4 linked regions of the Saccharomyces cerevisiae S288C genome follow. The protein of the gene in region 1 binds, or shares a complex with, the protein of each later gene. Each region holds a gene or a part of one and is shown on either strand. Other genes may lie near its edges. The genes, in order: RSM27, MRP4, PET123 and MRP51.

Region 1 (5,003 bases):
TCTGATCCCATCTCGCTCATCATACCAGAAAAAGAAGTTGGTCTTCATAGTAGTGTGGGTGAAACTCTGAACTATTCTAAATTAGAGCAACATCCAAGATACAAGAGAGATAATAAGAAATTGAGTGAAACTTTGAACATCATTAATCTATTCCCCGCATATTGTAAAGCATTAAATGAGCTTTACCCGTTTATTCAAACATCACAGGAAAATTTGAGGGGTACTATGCTTAATAGTGTCGCAGCTTGGTGTTCATCTACTTGTATTTATAAAATGGTCGCAAAAATTGGTTTTTATTTGACTTTTGTGATCTGCTCTATTGCTAGTCTCGTATCCTCGTTATTAAATTATTCGCACTTTCAGTTGGTAAATTACTCGGCATTTGTCCAGCAAATCGATCTTCGTTGTCAACAAATTTGCTATTTCCCAGTACAGTATGAGCGTATTAATAAGAAGGATAACATACAGAATGTTGGCTCTATGGTGGAAAAAGATAATTCTAATAGTCAATTCTCACATTCATATATGCCTTCTAAATTCTATCCCGATTATATTTTATTGTATAATACAATTTGGCTTATTATTAATGACATTTCATTTGGTTTAATATTGGGGGCCATACTTATTGAGAATCGAGATTTCTTGGTGTCGGCATCCCATAGAGTATTGAAGTTTTTTTTATATGATTCATTAAAAACAATAACTGAAACGTTAGCAAATAACCCCCTTGGCATCAAATTAAATGCAGAACTTGCGAACTTTTTGAGCGAATTATTTCTTTGGGTGATAGAATTTTCTTATACCACATTCATAAAAAGACTCATTGATCCGAAAACCCTATCATCTTTGCTCACGTTAACGATATATATGATGTTTCTCGTTGGCTTTTCTTTTGCTGTTTCCCTAGCGATTGATTTTTTTGCAATTTTAAGTTTTCCAATATATGTTTTTTATCGTATCAGCAGTAAACTGTACCATTGTCAGTTGAATATTATGGCTAGTCTTTTTAACCTGTTCTGCGGTAAAAAGAGGAACGTTTTACGAAATAGGATTGACCATAACTATTTTCAACTAGATCAATTGCTATTGGGAACATTATTATTTATTATTCTAGTGTTCTTGACTCCCACAGTGATGGCATTCTATATGTCATACACAGTTTTGAGAATGCTAACAATAACTATCGAAATATTCTCGGAAGCTGTCATTGCACTCATTAACCATTTTCCATTGTTCGCATTATTACTTAGGTTAAAAGATCCTAAACGTCTACCCGGTGGCATTTCAATTGAGCTCAAAACCACGGTTTCTAACAAGCATACAACCTTAGAACTTCAAAACAATCCTATTAAATTCAAGAGTATGTTCAGACCATACAATCTATTGTTGTCGCAAATGAGGACAAATTATTTCTCGTTTGCTACTGTACGAAAGATTGTCCGAGGGGAGTCTATAATGGTCAATAGAAATAAGCTGTACTATGTTCTTTATTCTTCACTGCCTAGTAAGCCATTGAGTGTAAAGGATTTATACAAAAGGCTGACTATTCAGGCATAACGTTTTCTTTTATAAGTAAAGTAGCGTTTTCTTGCTTCAGCTATTTGTTGTTTTATTTTTGATTTTGTATGTACATGAAATGAGTTTCTACATAATGAATATTTTTTTTAGTAAGGGTGCTCCAATCATTTTTTTTTCTTCCCCTTCCCCTTTGCAGTTGCAGCTGCATCCTTCTTCATCTTCTTAGGAGCACCTTTACCACGACGTTTCTTTGCTTCTACCATAGATAATCGATATTGCTCCTCAAGGTCTACAAATTCAATATCAGGATATAATGTTTTCAAATGTCTGAACTTCAGGATATCCGGATTGCCGTAGTAGCTTGCCACAGAAGGGCCCTTTAATCGCTCATTTAGAATCTTAGAACCGGTTCTTATACCTGATGGGTTGAAATTTTGATCAAATATCTTCGCAGATAACTCTGCTACTTTTAGGAGTCTCGCCTTTGGTACGTTCATTGAAAGTCTTATGATAAACTAATCCACGCAATCACTACGTACCACTTCGTCGAGCGGGTCAAAACAAGTACCTATTCTCCATGGCTATGTGCTCTAAAATGGTTTAGAAGTTCGCTTATTATATTTCTAACTGTTTTAGATCACTATATACGCTACGTGTTGATAAGACTTCATTTGCACATTTTTACTACAATAGCTAACTACTCTCAATTGATTAAACTTCTCAGCAAATAAAGTACATGGCTAAATGTGTGACAAGATGACACAATGAATGTATTTCTTTTTTCTTGATTTTTATTTAGCCGCTAAATTGATAAAGAAATCTGTTATTCTAATAAAACATTATACTATAATTATTAATATACTATTTGTAAATATCACCTTACTTACCACTCGACGTTGTCAGCATTTTCTTCAGCCCATTCAGTAGCTTCAGCTTGCTCTTCGGTAACCTCTTCCTTGGCTTCTTCTTCACCAGCTTCTTCGGTGGTAGCTTCTTCAGCAACTTGTTGTTCAACTTCTTCAGGGTCTCTGTAGAAGTACAAATCTGGCATGATGGACCATGGTTGAGTTCTGTCAACTAAAGCACCTCTTAGTCTCAAAACTTCTCTAGCCAATAAGTACCAGATTAAACCAATGGAGTGCTTACCTCTGTTGTTACATGGGATAGCGACATCGACGAATTCTGATGGAGAGTCAAGATCAGTTAGAGCAATGACAGGGATGTTAACGTAAGAAGCTTCCTTGATGGCTTGAGCATCTGATCTTGGGTCGGTGACAATAACTAATCTTGGTTCCTTGAAAGAACGGGTGATATAATTGGTGAAAGAACCTGGAGTGAATCTACCGGCGATTGGGGTAGCACCGGTGTGGGCAGCGAACTTCAAAACAGCCCTTTGACCGAAAGTTCTGGAAGAGATGGCAACAACGTCTTCTGGGTTTGGAATGGCAGCGATGATTCTGGCAGCCAAAACCAATTTTTCCCAGGTCTTACCAACGTTGATAACGTGGACACCATCTGGTCTTGCGTTGAAAACATATGGTTCTTGGTGAACCTGAAACAAAATTAAAGAAGAAAAAGTTAGTATAAAAGATTCAAAAACGTACACTTGGTATATGCTGTGAATGATCAACTGATTCAAATTAATGTACTATGAAAAAATGGCATTTATAGTTGGCTAACAGCGTCGGAAGAATAGGTACCGGAATTAATTGATTTCATTGAAAGAGGTTTAATACCAAAGGTTTGTTTTTTTTTTTCATTAGCGATTTAAAATTTAATAACATAATACAATTAGAAAGTCTATTGGCAAAATATTCGCTGATAATTAGCTGGAGTTTCAAACTGTTTTAATGATTGTTCATATATTTCTCTTCTTATTCAGCCTGAAAAATGCTATCCCAGCATTCCGTTTGGTTGGCGGGAAACCTGGTTGTGGCTATTCTTTCACTCGAACTGTTTTCAATCACACATTACTCTATTATATAATCGGGAATGAGTATAACATACTTGAACGTTTCTAGCACCTAAGTGAGTGTTAGCAGCCAACAAAAGTTGGGCATCTTCTGGAGTCAAGTCAAAAGTAGCTGGTAAGGACATTTCGCTCTCTATTTAGTTTGCTATTTTCTAAGCTATACCTCACTCTACAAGGGCAGTTTACGAAGTAAACTAACAATGCTACATTTCGATATATTATAAGCATCCTTGCTACGGGATCTGGCAAGTGTCCTGCCCTGCTACTATCTGCCCGGCAGCAGGCCACTGTACTACTCACAATTGGGAACACGACGGGATTCTGGTATCCATGGTAGGGTGCGCAGGATTGTAACGATGGCCCTGCACATTTACAATCGTTGGCTGAGATGAGCCTGTTCCAGCCTACGAAGTAAATTCCTCCATCCCTCCAGGCAGGATCTGTCCCAATTCCTTCCTGCCTGGAGAATCTCTGGGCCTGCGTTTCTCACTTGAGGTGCGCTCATTGGACTTTGCGCTACTACCAATGCGAAGAATTCGAGCTTTTAACGTGGCGCGCTCAGCGGCATAATACTTTTTTTTTCAAAGTTTTTTTCTTTATGTCTGGGTTTTTTAATATGTTTGGGTTTTTATCATATTTCAATTTTAACCGGACTTTTTGCTTCTATTCTTGTGAAGCGCATCCAAAAGCGGAAATATCTATCATTCAAAAAGAAAGTTTATTTTTAAGTTTAAACTTTACAAGCCACAATAAGGTATATAGGTCGTTTTGTTTTCAGACATGCATCATTGACTATTTCCTATGAATTTTGATGAATATTACTAAGATAAAAAAACACTGTAAATTGCTCATCAACTGTTTTCCTCTACAAACAAATCTACACTTGGCTGGCATGGGTGAATCGTTTAGCGTGTTCTTTTTTTTTTCGCGGCTTCTTTAGATTGCGCCTGTTAGTAAGATGCCCGCTGTCAACAATCTGCTCAATGCGGTATTCACAATGATATCTGTGATATTTCAAGCCTCACTTGCTAAAGATGAGTTCCGTGGATCTTTGGTGAAAAGAACAATAAGAGGTTGTCATATTCTTGGGAAGGGGCTTATCATGCAGCAAAAGACTTATGCGTATATATAGTTTTCATAATAAAGGGATAAGATACCTTGCCTGTTTCATTCTATAATAATAAACCCTGTAAAAGTATGTAATAGACAGTCAGCACTTTTCACCACTTCGAACATGGCAAAAGACGGCTTCGAGTTATATAGATACACTCCGGAATTAGGTGCGAGTATACTTTTTACGGTACTTTTTGCAGTATCAGGGGTAGCATTTGTAATTTTACTATTCCATTATTCTGTGAAAAGTAAAAGGAGAGTTGGCTCTCTTATGAAGTCCCAACCCGTATTGCGGTATTACGGTACGGTAAACTTAGCAGGAGCGTACATTCCCTTTATATTTGGGTGTTTTGTTGAGTGTGTGGGCTTTGCGTTTAGATGTAAATCAAGCAAAGACACC
Region 2 (4,177 bases), on another chromosome or scaffold:
GTCAGTCTTAACAGAATTCCGTCATGAAGGTAATTATGTGTTGAATTTTGCCACACAACAATACAAATGTTGGATTTCGTTGCCAATTGTATTTGTACTAATTGCTGCGTTACAATTAGTTAACCTGTATTGGCTGTTTTTAATTCTTAGAATCTTGTACAGATTGATATGGCAAGGTATCCAAAAGGACGAAAGAAGTGACAGTGATTCTGATGAGAGCGCTGAAAATGAAGAATCTAAGGAAAAGTGTGAATAAACGTATCTTAAGGAGAATACGTATCATCATATGATTTCCCCCCTGTATGAAGGCCAAGTTAACATGGTATAGCTCATAGTTGTTGTTATAAGAAGCATAAACCCAAGTACGAAAGTAATAATTCTGTAAAAAAAAAAAAAAATGCGTTTATTTAGCGTCTTCGGGTTGGCTATATATATATATTTAAGGATATATGGGCATATGTACAAGTTTAGGTTAACAAGCCAAAAGAAAATAAAAGTGTTCATTTTTCGTTATTTCTGGCCAAGCGATTTTGCAAGCCTCTTTGGCCAGCTCTCGCCAAGACTCCTAGTAAGAAATTGACAGATCTCAATGAATCATCGTTACCTGGGATAGGGTAGGTCACCAAAGAAGGTTCGGAGTCAGTATCGATGATTGCGATAGTTGGGACCCTTGATTTAATTGCTTCTAACAAAGCGTTTCTATTTTCTGTGGGATTTAATACGACCAGCAAGTCAGGCTTAACCTGCTTTGATGTTTCATTCGGTGATAACGCTCTTTCGGTGGGATTGTCATTAGAGTCGATTTCCTGCTTCTCCCAGATACCTGAAATTTCTGTAGAATTCGTCAAAGTACCCGGGATCCATCTGGTAGACACATAATAACCATGTGTCTTCTTAGCAGCTTCCTCGAGCCCTCTTTTCTGGCCTTGTCTTGTACCCAGAAATAGGATAATGCCACCGGATTCCGAAACGCCCTCTACTACCTTGGCGGCTCTCTTCAAATAGGACAAAGTTTGGTTTAGATCTATTATGTGAATACCTTTATATTCACCGTATATGTAGGATTGTGTGGAAGACCTCCAAAGTGAGGTAGACTGGCCCAAGTGAACACCAGCAGACATTAAGCTCTCAACAGTAATGTTTTCTGGGAGGGGCGGATAGAAAATGTCCTTATGAGGATAGTAAACCTTCGAAATAGTGGCACCCAATTTAGCGGTACGCATGGAATGGTTTAGTTGACGCAAGAAAAGTTCTTGAGAGGAATATGGTTTGTCATTGGCCGAAGGTATAAGGTTAGGGTAAGGCTTGGTTGGCGTGGCTGCTGCTGTCGTTGTAGAAGATTGTCCATCTAATGTCTTGCTGTCAAACAACTTGTTCAACAGAGCATAATTTCTGAAAAAGTCACTCAATTCAGCCTCCAGCTGCTGTTCTTTGTCAGAGAGTTTGTCTTGCTCTAATGACTTTTTCAACTCAGGTAATATTTCATCTTCTGGTACCTGAGATAGAGACTTCAATTCTGATCTAATTTCATCATACAAAAGTTTCTGTTGCAACAGCATCACCTCATCGTTATTGTTAGGGGTGTTGGCCGCACCGGATGCTGACGACTGAAACCTTTTGGTAAGGGAAGGGTTCCTCAATAAGGAAAGACGTCTGAAATTCCTCGCAAAAACGTGTCTCTGCATGAGAAAAGAGTCGTTTCTCACTTTTTATTTCTCGAATCACCTGTATTTGTGCCCCGCGATAATCAGGCTCTCGAGCGTATGTACACTTGCCAGAACTGATTATTATTTACCATCAAATATAGCAGTGACCTACGACATACAAATTTCATCTCTCGGATTCACTTACCGAATTGATTTTTTTCTTGCACTCTTTTCTGACCCGGCACGGCCTTTTCTTACCGAGATAAACAGGAAAATAGGGCAGTATGCGTGTGTTATACGTGAGAGAGAGCAAGCGGGTGAGTATTCGTTTCATTACAGTTTATGCATTAACATAAACGTATACATATTACACATACACATATACATAGATAGATACATATACGCATATATTAATGCTCAGGTGCAATAACGGGTGCAACAACAGCAGCAGCAGGATACAATATGCAGTTTGAAGAGCGGTTGCAACAGCTAGTAGAAAGCGATTGGAGCCTGGATCAGTCAAGCCCAAACGTACTGGTGATAGTCCTTGGAGACACTGCCAGGAAGTACGTAGAGTTAGGAGGACTGAAGGAGCACGTGACTACGAACACTGTGGCAGGTCACGTGGCAAGCCGGGAGCGGGTATCCGTAGTTTTTTTGGGCCGGGTAAAGTACTTATACATGTACCTCACCCGGATGCAAGCGCAGGCGAATGGTCCGCAATACTCTAATGTACTCGTCTATGGATTGTGGGATCTCACCGCGACACAAGATGGACCGCAACAGCTGCGGCTACTTAGCCTTGTGTTACGGCAGTGCCTCAGTCTGCCATCTAAAGTTGAATTCTATCCAGAACCGCCTTCTAGTAGCGTGCCTGCCCGGCTATTGCGATTCTGGGACCATATTATCAGATAGCTGCATTGTGTTACATGCGATATCGTAGAAGACGATAGAACGAAAAAGAAACGTTAATCTTTTTTTCCTTTTTTTTTCGATTAAAAAAAAAAAATTTTCGCCTCGTGGCCCGAAACACGGCCAAGAGAGGGAATTCGAAAGTCTACCGCTTTTGGCAGCTGAAAAATTCAGAAAGTCACCTGGCCAGAGAGGAAAAATACGAAACCAAAAAGAGGCATCCGTAAATTCGCATTAGCAACGCATGCTTACATAGATACTCACATACTACACACACTTACATACTTTCTTAAAGACATACATCCGTACGTACAATTAGAGCGAGGTAGCAAGCAACCCAAACTTCTTCCCTTCACTGCCTCACACCCCATCCTAAATATCCCACAAGATCCTCGACTAATACAAGAAATGAGCAATGATCCATCTGCTGTATCGGAACTACCAGACAAGGACAGTCTTGATAACGGTATCAGCAATGACAATGAAAGGGCCATGGGCGGCAATGGCGATGGCGGCGATGGATTACGATTACCAAGGACCACTGGAACTTTGAACGTCAATGCCTTACAAAAAGGCACTAATGCTGCCCATGAAGCTGGTGGATACAAATCCATGGATCCTGCGAAGAACGCGGAGACAACCAATGATGATGACAATAATGTCGTTTCACTAGATGATCCTATTCAATTTACCCGAGTATCTTCCTCCTCTGTCATCAGTGGAATGTCTTCATCCATGAGTCCTCATTCTAACATCGATGAAACCAAATCTCTAGAAGCAGTCACTCCAAACATAAATACCAGCAATATAACCCCGGATCATTCTGCTGACAACACATTTTCTACCATAAATGCGTCCGAGTCAGATCACCAGTTTAATGACACTTTACTATCAAAACTGTCGTTAACAGATTCTACAGAAACTATAGAAAATAACGCGACAGTGAAGCACCAGCAGCCAGTTGCATCTTCCACAGTAAACTCGAATAAGAGCTCCACTGATATACGAAGGGCTACACCAGTGTCCACTCCCGTTATCTCTAAACCATCGATGACAACCACGCCAAGACAGATCAATTCAGCTTCCCATTCGCTTTCGAACCCTAAGCATAAGCAACATAAACCAAAAGTTAAACCGTCCAAGCCTGAAGCAAAAAGTAAACCGGTTTCTGTGAAAAAAAGCTTTCCTTCGAAAAATCCTTTAAAAAACTCCTCTCCACCTAAAAAGCAAACAGAAAAATCGTATTATTCTTCCTCTTCGAAAAAAAGGAAAAGCGGTTCAAATAGTGGTACACTAAGAATGAAAGATGTCTTTACGTCCTTTGTACAGAATATAAAGAGAAATTCTCAGGATGATAAAAGGGCCTCATCGTCGTCCAATAATTCTTCCTCATCTTCTATAACCACCGCTTTGAGGATATCTACGCCATACAATGCCAAGCATATCCACCATGTGGGCGTGGACTCCAAGACTGGTGAGTACACAGGTTTGCCGGAGGAATGGGAAAAATTGTTGACTTCTAGTGGTATTTCCAAAAGAGAACAACAGCAAAACATGCAAGCAGTCATGGATATTGTCAAATTCTATCAGGATGTCACGGAAACAAACGGTGAAGATAA
Region 3 (5,221 bases), on another chromosome or scaffold:
CCCTTTAAAGACCAACAAACGGATGACTATAGAAATGTTAATTTTAGTGTTATGTTATATGTGTGGTACTGAGCTGTGTTTGTTATATTATGCTCTGTGTGATAAAATAGCTAAAATGGATGGATAAATTAACACGAAAATTAACGAACAAAAATCAACTAACACACTTCAAAGCATAAAAAAAAGAAAAAAGAAAAAGAATCAAGAACAAATAATAAGCTCTGCTATAAGAAAATATATTATGTAAATAGTTTTGCGGTTAGTTTTTGACTTCCTTTATCACATTTTGTTGAACAATGATTTACTATACTAAAATATACTTAAGTTCTATGTTTTACTTTCAAGCCGTTATATCGACTTGTTCTTCTTGTATGTCACAAATATTGACAATACTCTCCTTCAGCACAGCAGTTGTACCCCTGGGGAATTTGTAGCTTTTCTGCTTTTCTTCTCTAACATTTGGAGTCAAGTAATTCCTCAAGTATTCTGCATCTTTACCTATTTCCATGACACACACATCCACATTAGAACCAGACCCCAAATCATTCCAGATACCAGCCTGGATTGCATCAGAGGCCAACTTTATGGCTTCCTCCTTCGTAAGGTCTTGCTTCCAGTGTGATTCCAACACAGCCATTGCCGCTAGAGAACCAGATCCTAGAGAAAGGTAGTAGCCCACGTCAGTAGAACCATGCGCATGAATGGAGAACAAATGAGATCCCGTAGGGTCTACACCTGCAACAATCAAATAAGCACCAATATGACCTTGGTACTTAAATAGGTGCTGCTTTAGCATTTGTAAAGCTGAGACCACTCTTGGTTCTCTCGAGGTATATAAGGAATGTAATTCAATGTTAGACCCGATCAACTGCGTAACTGCCTCAGTATCGGCGGCGGTACCGGCACCAGCACACCATATTTTGGGGGAAATTCTATGCAATTTTGCGCAATTCTTATCTGCGACAATTGGACCTTGTGTTGATCTTGTATCTGCTGCAATCACCACTCCGTTATTGAATTTTACGCCTACAATGGTGGTACCCGTGGAAGTTGCCTTAGGTTGTGTGTGCGAGTTTTCCGCTAAGAAATTATTTCTTTGATAATTGTCGAACGATAAACCTGCCATGCTCACTCAATTCTATTTTCTACAATCAGGTTTATGTGGGGGGAGTATTCCTGAAAAAATTTAACGCTTTACTATACAAACTCTCCACCTCAACTGATCACCCTTCTGCTGAATTATTAGTTTATCCTTTTCATCTTTCTTTTTGGTATTTTGCCACTCGGCCGGGTTATAAAATACGAAACATGGCCCTAATTTACCCGCTTTTACAATAAAGGGTTTGTAATGAGGGTAAAAATATTGGCCCTAATGAAAAATCACTAGCAACGGAAGTGCAAGTAGAACCCTGAAGTCGCCGAGTAGGAAAGTGATTCCCAAGAGGAGTAGAATAAAGAAGAGAATCTACATATGGATTATTTAGGTAATAGTTTCATTGCTGATTGTCAACAACAATAATAACAAGGATAATTGAAGTATGGGGAAAGGTGCGGCCAAGTATGGTTTTAAAAGTGGGGTTTTCCCCACAACAAGGTCCATTCTGAAGAGCCCCACTACAAAGCAGACTGATATTATTAATAAGGTAAAATCACCCAAGCCCAAGGGTGTTCTTGGTATTGGGTATGCCAAAGGTGTAAAACATCCAAAAGGATCACATAGATTATCACCCAAGGTAAACTTTATCGACGTGGATAATCTCATTGCGAAGACCGTTGCTGAACCCCAGAGTATAAAATCCAGTAACGGTTCAGCACAGAAAGTGAGATTACAAAAAGCTGAATTAAGAAGAAAGTTTTTGATTGAAGCATTTCGCAAGGAAGAGGCTAGGCTATTACACAAACACGAGTATTTGCAGAAGAGGACAAAGGAACTGGAAAAAGCAAAAGAACTGGAGCTAGAAAAACTAAATAAGGAAAAATCTTCAGACTTGACTATTATGACTCTAGACAAAATGATGTCTCAACCTCTTTTAAGGAACAGATCACCAGAAGAGAGCGAATTGTTGAAGTTGAAAAGGAATTACAATCGATCGTTGTTGAACTTTCAGGCGCACAAGAAAAAGCTAAACGAATTATTAAACCTCTACCATGTCGCTAATGAATTCATCGTTACAGAATCCCAACTACTAAAGAAAATTGATAAGGTTTTTAACGATGAAACGGAGGAATTCACTGATGCCTATGATGTAACTTCTAACTTCACGCAATTTGGAAATAGAAAATTATTACTTTCAGGTAACACCACCCTACAAACCCAAATTAACAACGCAATAATGGGCTCTTTGTCAAACGAAAAGTTTTTCGATATTTCTTTAGTGGATTCATATCTGAACAAGGATTTAAAAAACATTTCCAATAAAATTGATTCCAAATTAAACCCCACCTCTAATGGAGCTGGAAATAATGGTAATAATAATAATACAACCAACTTGTAAATAACTAATATATATACTACTTCAACATGTCATGTATTCGAAAGTGCCTTAGACGCATTACAACTAAAGAAAAGAAGAAAAAAAAATCAAATCGAGAATAAATATGCCCATGTATATACGTCACTTGCGAATTGTCTATTTCTCTCGTTCCCCTTTTTCTTTCAGTCCGCTGATGTTATCAATGTGATATTATCGCCTTTCAACAGGATCTTCCCCAAGGGCGTGCCCTTCTCCACATCTTCTTTACCATCGGCACTATTCACAGGAATTTCCACGGCTTCATCGATGACAACATTCATGAACTCATCAAATCCAACTATTTTACCCTTGATTCTTATGCCGATTTGCTCGAATAACCATATCGTTACTGGTGTTTGCTGTTGTAAGAAGTTAAATATGCAATTTATTGGTGGCACCATGGCCTTGGTTTTAACTTTGTTCGACATTCCAAGCCTCTTGTTTTTCGCTCTATATCCTTCCTGTGTTCCTTAATCTCCTTTCCTTAGTATTATCTCTTACCTTTACCATCTATTATTGTTATTTCACTTCAATTTTCTATTTCTCTGTTAGATGCTCAGGCTTTCGGTATAATTGAAAAAAATTTTCGAACATAAGGGATATTGACAAAAAAATAAATGAAGGAAAAAGGCATGAAAATACTCGTTGACAGATCAGTATCAAGGATTTATTGAGGATATACTAAGGATTAACTTGCGTTATGGACAACTTACAGGTATCTGATATAGAAACTGCTTTACAATGCATATCGTCTACTGCATCTCAAGATGATAAAAACAAAGCGCTTCAATTTTTAGAACAATTCCAAAGATCAACTGTTGCCTGGTCTATTTGCAATGAAATATTGTCTAAAGAAGATCCTACAAACGCTCTTCTAGAATTAAATATTTTTGCTGCGCAAACTTTAAGGAATAAAGTCACATATGATCTATCACAATTAGAAAATAATCTACCACAATTCAAGGATTCTTTGTTGACGCTTTTATTATCGCATAACCAAAAATTGATTATTACACAACTGAATGTCGCGTTAGCACGTTTGGCGATCCAATTTTTAGAATGGCAGAATCCAATTTTCGAGATCATTTCATTGTTGAATTCTTCACCATCTATATTATTAAACTTTTTAAGAATTTTACCTGAGGAAACCTTAGACATTGCATCTACTTCCTTGACAGAAGTGGAATTCAATTCCAGAATTCATGAACTAATTGATCCGATAGCAGAAGATGTATTGAAATTCCTTGTATCATGCATAGACCTATTACAAAATACAGACGGGAATTCCAGCTCATCTATTTCATTAGAACAAATTTTACGGTGTTTGAACTCTTGGTCGTATGAATTCCCTGTTGAACAGTTGCTAACCGTACAACCCTTAATAAATCTCGTGTTTGAAACTATTTCCAATGGTAATGAAAGTGACATGGAGGCATTCGATTCCGCTATTGATTGTCTCTGCGTTATCCTCAGAGAAAGCAGAGATACTACTAATGAGCAGTTGATTTCTGCTTTATTTCATCAGTTAATGCTTTTACAAGAAAAACTATTGCCTACTCTGTTCACAGACCATCCTTTGAACGATGAATATGATGACGATCTCCTAGAAGGTATGACACGATTATTCGTAGAAGCTGGCGAGGCTTGGTCAGTTGTCATTTCTAAAAACCCCGATTTTTTTAAACCAATGGTTTTGGTATTATTGATGTTGACCTGCAAAAATGAAGACTTAGATGTCGTTTCCTATACTTTCCCCTTTTGGTTTAACTTCAAACAAAGTTTAGTTTTGCCAAGATATCAAGAATCAAGAAAAGCTTACTCTGATATTTTTGTTAAATTAATAAATGGTATAATTACTCATTTACAATATCCATCAGGCCAGTTTTCATCTAAAGAGGAAGAAGATAAATTTAAAGATTTCAGGTATCATATGGGCGATGTGTTAAAAGACTGTACTGCAGTGGTGGGAACTTCTGAGGCTTTATCGCAACCACTAATAAGAATTAAGTCCGCAATAGAAAACAACAATAGCTGGCAAATAATGGAAGCCCCATTATTTTCCCTGAGGACTATGGCTAAAGAAATTTCGTTGACTGAAAACACTATATTGCCAGAAATCATTAAAATCATTTGTAACCTTCCAGAGCAGGCCAAGATTAGGTATGCATCAACATTAGTTCTTGGTAGATATACCGAATGGACAGCCAAGCATCCAGAACTACTAGAAGTTCAATTGCAATATATTTTTAACGGTTTTCAACTGCATGAGGGTTCATCGGATATGCAAAGTATAATCACTGCATCATCACATGCATTAATGTTCTTCTGTTCGGACTGCTCTAAACTATTAGTTGGGTATATTGATCAGTTGATTAATTTCTTCCTCAACGTGCAGAGTTCGATTGATATTGAGTCACAATTTGAACTATGTCAAGGATTAAGTGCAGTAATAAATAATCAGCCAGAGGCCAAAGTTTCAGTAATATTTCAAAAGCTCGTAGATGATAATTTGCGACAAATCGAGGCTTTGATTCCTCAATGGAAAGCAAATCCAACGCTCTTGGCTCCACAGATTGCTGATAAGATTGATTTGCTATATGCGCTTTTTGAAGAATTGAAACCGAGATACAATTATCCTCAGCAAGGATCGGAACCTTTACTCCCCAGGATAGAATTTATTTGGAAGGCATTAAGAACTCTGCTAGTTG
Region 4 (5,621 bases), on another chromosome or scaffold:
AAACGTATGACTGTATAGTACTGGAGTGAAAACGAAGAGATAAAGAAAGGAAAAAGGGAGATTAATAAAAAGAAAAAAATTAAAGGAGTTCTATATTTGGATTAGTCTTTTATTCTTTCTGCTTACCACCATGAAGCGTTGCTATTTCCGTAACCGTTTTTCTCATTATCATTTCTAAACCCACCTCCAATCGAACCCCAATTTGATGTTCCAGTATTCCTTGGCCTCGTGCTCCCAAATGAGCCATTTCCACCATGTTTACGGTAGTCTCTTGAACCGTTATTACGACTATTGAAAAAACCTCCTCCTCCCCTAGTTCTTCCACCTCTTGAATTCTGTCTTGACAGGTCACTTAAAAACGTGGGAACTTCTTGATTCGCTTCATTTAAAATTTCCATCAAACCCTTCACAATATTCTGATTATTACTATTGAAGAATGAAGTAGCCACGCCTGTGTTACCAGCACGGCCTGTTCTACCAATTCTGTGAACGTAGTCATCGATGTCGGAGGGCAAATCATAATTAATGACATGTGTGACATTCGGTATATCCAAACCTCTCGCTGCTACAGCTGTTGCGACCAGGATATCAGCTACGTTAGCTTTGAAAGCAGATAAGGCACGTTCACGTTCAGCCTGTGTGCGGTCACCATGTATGGCTGTAGCTTTGAAATTTTGCATGATCAAAAAATCTGTGAGTTGATCCGCCATTCTTTTCGTTTCAACAAAAATCAATGTCAATCCCTTATGCTCTGCAGACAGTAAATCTAACAACGCAGACTTTTTGTCCATGTCATCGACATATAATATTCTTTGCGTGATATTTTCTGAGGTGGAACCGACTCTTCCTACTGATAAAAAAATATAATTATCTAAGAAATCGCGTGCCAAATGCTGGATATCTACTGGGAATGTGGCGGAAAACATCAAGGTCTGTCTATTTTCCACAGAGGGCATATCACATTCTTCAACTATATGGCGAATTTGGGGTTCGAATCCCATATCTAGCATTCTATCAGCCTCATCCAATACCAGGTATTTGATATTAGCCAAAGAAACTTTTCCGCGTTCTAATAAGTCATTCAGCCGCCCTGGTGTAGCCACCAATAAGTCACAGCCGCGGTCAACCTCCCTCATCTGGTTACCGATTGGCGCGCCACCATAAACAACGCATGGCCTAACCCAAGATCTATACGTAAATTTTCTTGCTTCTTCAAAAATTTGGGTAGCCAATTCTCTAGTTGGTGCAAGTACTAAAGCAGATGGATATCCCTTTCTAGAATAAAAGCTCTGTGCTTTCTCGGGTACTGGAGAGGGCCCAGACCTGAATAGCTCCGTGAAGAGCGGAAACAAAAACCCACCTGTCTTACCTGAGCCCGTTTGTGCGCATGCCATCAAATCCCTACCTTTGGTAACTATTGGAATAGAATATTTTTGTACTGGAGTAGGTTTGGTGAAACTAGCAAGTTTGATATTTTCCATTAACAGCTCATCCAGAGGGGGAGAACTAAAATCTAGTATAGGTTCAGGAACATCTTTTCCAGATGCATCTACGGGAATATTATCGTAATTATCAAACTTTATACCAGATGAATGGTAATCGGGATCGTCGTGTACACCAAACAGTTCGGCTTCTAATTTCGCGTTCTTAGGCCCCGGTATATGCTTGCCATTTACCCATCTATTTCCAGATGATTTGTAATTTGAGCTGCCTCCGCGGTTATAGTTCGCACTCGTCCCTCCATTTCTTTCCTTAGAAAAGCCAAAAAACCCGCCATTGTTCCCAGTTTGCCTTCCAGCACGTCTGAAAAAATCACCACCCGTAACCTTATCTTCCTGTTTTGGGGTACTTCTTTCGAATGATGGTTTTCCTCTACTTCTCAAGTGCGGTGGGACATAAGATGATTTGCCGCCACCACCACCATTCTCTTTGTTGTTGATGCTTAAATTAGATACCTTCTGTGGCAAGTCTGCCATTTTTTCTTGTAATACTTTCACTCAAAGGGGTTTTTCTTAAAATATCCTTTAACTGACACTACCGATATCTTTTATAATCATGAATAATCCTTGTTATAAAATAAAGGCATTACTTCAGAGATGACCTTAAGTAACCTTCCCTTAAAATTGTTAAAGAACTCGCGGGGTAATATTTACGTTGACAGTGATATTTGTTTTGAGAAATCAAAGAATGAAGAACTTAGATGTAGAGTTAAAGGAGCAATACGAATAGGTGCCGTGATGAAGAAAAAAAATCATACAGACATTTGCTACAACCCTTGGTGAGACTGTTTCGATCATTTTTCTTTTTCTTTTTCTTTATTTTAGAAAAAATTGAACGAAATGACATTGGCAGAGTTGCTTGGACGGTCGAGAATAGCTCAAGTAGCTAACAATCATAAACCATTGACATACACTGGCAAAAAATTTCATCCAACACATCAAATCATCGAAACTAAGCCATCGACACTATACAGACAAGAATGGGGGTTGAAATCCGCTATTCCTTCGAAAATTAAATCTCGATATTTGGTGTACAACGATTTGGATACGTTGGAAAGAATTACCACATTCGAACCTAGAGGCGGTACGCAATGGAATAGGCTAAGATTTCAAGAAATGGGAGTACCAATTGTGTCTAATATAGGCAGACAAAATCCATTTTTCAAGTACATATCTCGTCCTGAGGATGAGTCTCATGCTAAATTGTCCTTATTCAAAGAAATGAAAGGAGATACAGATATTTCGCCTGCTGCTATGAAGAAGCGTTTGAAGAAGATAACAGCACTAATTAGATCGTTTCAAGATGAATTTAAAGAGTGGCTGGTGGAAAATCATCCGGATGAATTGAAATTGAATTCTAATAAGCTGGAAGACTATGTAGTGAAGTTTCTAAACAAAAAGTTGGAAACAAAAACGAATAAAAAATTTAACACTGAAATCATTGGTACAGGTGGATTATCATACAGCTTGCCAGGAAAGCTAAAAAACTCACCAAATGGTGTCATTCAAAGGACTGTAGTACCCGGTAGAATCTTGAACGTTGTTAAGGAGAACAACGACAATAAATGGCTGGCAGCTATTGGTGGGTTTGTGGCCGATGTGGTATTTTTCCAATCACCACCTAGTTCCTTTAACTCCATGGGAGATTTCATCAGAATGAAAACGTTCTTGTTCGAGATCTTGGAGGCATCTATGGAGAAAAATGGTTCTGTTTCGATGCACGCTAGATTACTCGAACCACAAAATGACAAGACCAGAGAATTTTTCAATAAGAGACCAATTTATAAACCATTGACCTCTAGAAGGGCACGTCGACCATCAGTGGGAAACATTCAAGAGGCCAATAACCTTTTGAATATAATCAAGGGAAATTGAGAAGAGAAAAAAAAAATGTGAACAATCAATGTATATTCAGAGTTCTGTAAATAAATAAAGAAAATAAAGTTTACATATTACTAAGGATTTTTGTCGCCTATTTTTACTATTTTTCAGGTGAAATGAAACGTTTTATATCACATTTTGCTATGATAACAAAGTTATTATGATTTTTATGTAGCCTATATTATTGACGCGTTGTTATAGCATTCTATGAATTTGCCTGTCATTTTCCACTTCAGAAAGGTCATCTAATTGCTCCCACCAGTTGAATAAGTAATTCTCGCAAATAATCTTAAACCAAGGCGTAAACTTGTAACTTGGGTCAGCAAACATAGTTTTCAAATCATTTGGTGAAACCCATTTGAAGTCTCTAACTTCATTGACGTTTGGGTTGACAGTCAAGTTTTCTTTAGCGTTGATCTTATAAAATAGGATGTAATCAATTTCATGTTCACCCCATGGTTCATTGCTTGGTGCCATGTAATGGATTCTGTTTAAAAAGTGAAACTTACCCCTTGTCTTAGTTTCATCTTCTGGAATACCTAATTCATGATCTAGTTTTCTCACCGCCGCAGTAATAGCGCCCTTAATCTTATCGTCTAGCTTACCCTTCAAACCTAATTCGTCATCAATACATAGTGGATGAGAGCAGCATGTGTTAGTCCAAAGATCAGGGAAAGTTATTTTTTCAGTGGCTCTTTGTTGTAAAAGTAATTCACCTTGTTCATTGAAAATAAAGACGGAGAATGCACGATGTAGTAAACCCTTTTCAATATTTTCCATTAAATGACAAACTTTCTTGGTACCGGCACCAATAGCATTATCGTCCCAATCCAAAACAATACAATTTTCATTCATTAACTTAATTTGCTCCTCATCATGACCAGAAAAACATGTTTCTCCGCTTTCGTCATTTGACGTCTCACTAGATCGGGTATTAGGTCTTTGTTGTAATGGAATAATTTCAGGAAACTCTTCCAAAATGTCTTCAGGTGTTTGGTTTTGCACTAATTTGGCGTAACTAGATACTGCACCATGGGGCATACTATTGTTGTCGGCAGTCATTGAGGTGTAATGAATTTTTGGCTTATTTTTACTCTTCCTGTATTCCAAATACGAATACTCTAATATTGAATTAAGTGGGATATACGCCTTCTTGTCACTAGAAAACTGTTTCCTGTTAAATAGATAAAAATGAATAAATAAATATAAATGGAGTTAAGACCGAAAAAGAAAGGCAACCCCCATCGACAAGAAAAGAGTTATGAATAATCATGTTTCTTAATAACAATTAAAGGGAAAAGAATCGGCTGGGCATCGTCATTGCGAAACTGTTGACTGGAAAAATTTCAATCACAATTAAGTTTTGTCCATTTCGTTCCAGCAAGAACGGAAACTTTTACCGATAGCAGCGGAAAAAAAGAAAAAAGAAAAAAAAAAGAAATTAATATAGGCAAAATAGCCGCATGAAGCCCTTAATAACCTATACTATTCTGTGACTGTTATTTATTTACCCTCGTAATATTAAAAATGTCCTATACAATTTCTGTAATAAAACCTAATTTTTTTAGGACCCTTGAGTGTTACCCTGCTCATGTTTTTATTTTTGTTTTAGAGAAATGTAAACAACAGTTTGGGAAAGTTTCAAGAATTGTAAACAACTAATCAAGGGATAATACTATTTTACTCTTTCCTTTAAACATGAAGAACTATTTTTTGTTTACGTTTTTTTCTGAATTGAACAATAAGATCTTGTTAATTTTTTTATCGCTTGATCTATTATCAGATCTTCTCTTTTGAAAAACTAGTCCTTTTCCAAATTACAAACTTTCTTTTCGTGTGGAGTTGATCAGTTCAGTTTCTCCAATACTTCTTAAGTCACTGAAAATATAACGAAAAAAAGGGCTCTGGAAGTAAACAGAGAAATTCGACGATATAATATGTCTTCCAAGCATTCAGATCCATTGGAGAGATTTTATAAGCAATTTCAAGCATTTGTTCAAAATAACCCTAATGTCATATCGGCAGCTCGAGCTGCCGCACAAATACCGGAATCTGCAAAAGCTGTTGTAGTACTATCCCCATATTCTTTACAGCATGTGTTCCCGAGAGAATGGGTAACAAAATCGTATAGGAAAACTATAGTCGAACGACCAGAAAGATTATTAGCAAGCTCGATGGGTATATCAGCTGCGATTACAATGTATCCATCCCTTTTCACCTTGAAATCCTCGCATCAAAGGA

What was found.
Region 2: RSM27 (region 1) and MRP4 share a complex: the UniProt entries of both Saccharomyces cerevisiae proteins name them as parts of the mitochondrial small ribosomal subunit.
Region 3: RSM27 (region 1) and PET123 share a complex: the UniProt entries of both Saccharomyces cerevisiae proteins name them as parts of the mitochondrial small ribosomal subunit.
Region 4: RSM27 (region 1) and MRP51 share a complex: the UniProt entries of both Saccharomyces cerevisiae proteins name them as parts of the mitochondrial small ribosomal subunit.

The regions. Positions count from the first base shown.
Region 1 is NC_001139.9:919,187-924,189, reverse strand, and holds RSM27 (mitochondrial 37S ribosomal protein mS33 RSM27), read right to left. Parts: upstream 2,016-5,003; coding exon 1,683-2,015; downstream 1-1,682. Other genes in the region: GPI1 (phosphatidylinositol N-acetylglucosaminyltransferase), read left to right, coding at 1-1,557; 40S ribosomal protein uS2 RPS0A, read right to left, coding at 2,402-3,070, 3,526-3,615; RTA1 (Rta1p), read left to right, coding at 4,725-5,003. UniProt on the Saccharomyces cerevisiae protein: Component of the mitochondrial ribosome (mitoribosome), a dedicated translation machinery responsible for the synthesis of mitochondrial genome-encoded proteins, including at least some of the essential transmembrane subunits of the mitochondrial respiratory chain.
Region 2 is NC_001140.6:96,727-100,903, reverse strand, and holds MRP4 (mitochondrial 37S ribosomal protein uS2m MRP4), read right to left. Parts: upstream 1,686-4,177; coding exon 501-1,685; downstream 1-500. Other genes in the region: sphingosine N-acyltransferase LAG1, read left to right, coding at 1-256; YHL005C (uncharacterized protein), read left to right, coding at 1,684-2,076; SHU1 (Shu1p), read left to right, coding at 2,109-2,561; mitogen-activated protein kinase kinase kinase kinase STE20, read left to right, coding at 2,967-4,177. UniProt on the Saccharomyces cerevisiae protein: Component of the mitochondrial ribosome (mitoribosome), a dedicated translation machinery responsible for the synthesis of mitochondrial genome-encoded proteins, including at least some of the essential transmembrane subunits of the mitochondrial respiratory chain.
Region 3 is NC_001147.6:630,626-635,846, forward strand, and holds PET123 (mitochondrial 37S ribosomal protein mS26 PET123), read left to right. Parts: upstream 1-1,538; coding exon 1,539-2,495; downstream 2,496-5,221. Other genes in the region: PUP1 (proteasome core particle subunit beta 2), read right to left, coding at 341-1,126; mRNA splicing protein SME1, read right to left, coding at 2,657-2,941; mRNA transport regulator MTR10, read left to right, coding at 3,214-5,221. UniProt on the Saccharomyces cerevisiae protein: Component of the mitochondrial ribosome (mitoribosome), a dedicated translation machinery responsible for the synthesis of mitochondrial genome-encoded proteins, including at least some of the essential transmembrane subunits of the mitochondrial respiratory chain.
Region 4 is NC_001148.4:324,289-329,909, forward strand, and holds MRP51 (mitochondrial 37S ribosomal protein bS1m MRP51), read left to right. Parts: upstream 1-2,339; coding exon 2,340-3,374; downstream 3,375-5,621. Other genes in the region: putative DEAD-box ATP-dependent RNA helicase DBP1, read right to left, coding at 123-1,976; isopentenyl-diphosphate delta-isomerase IDI1, read right to left, coding at 3,576-4,442; HOS3 (histone deacetylase), read left to right, coding at 5,318-5,621. UniProt on the Saccharomyces cerevisiae protein: Component of the mitochondrial ribosome (mitoribosome), a dedicated translation machinery responsible for the synthesis of mitochondrial genome-encoded proteins, including at least some of the essential transmembrane subunits of the mitochondrial respiratory chain.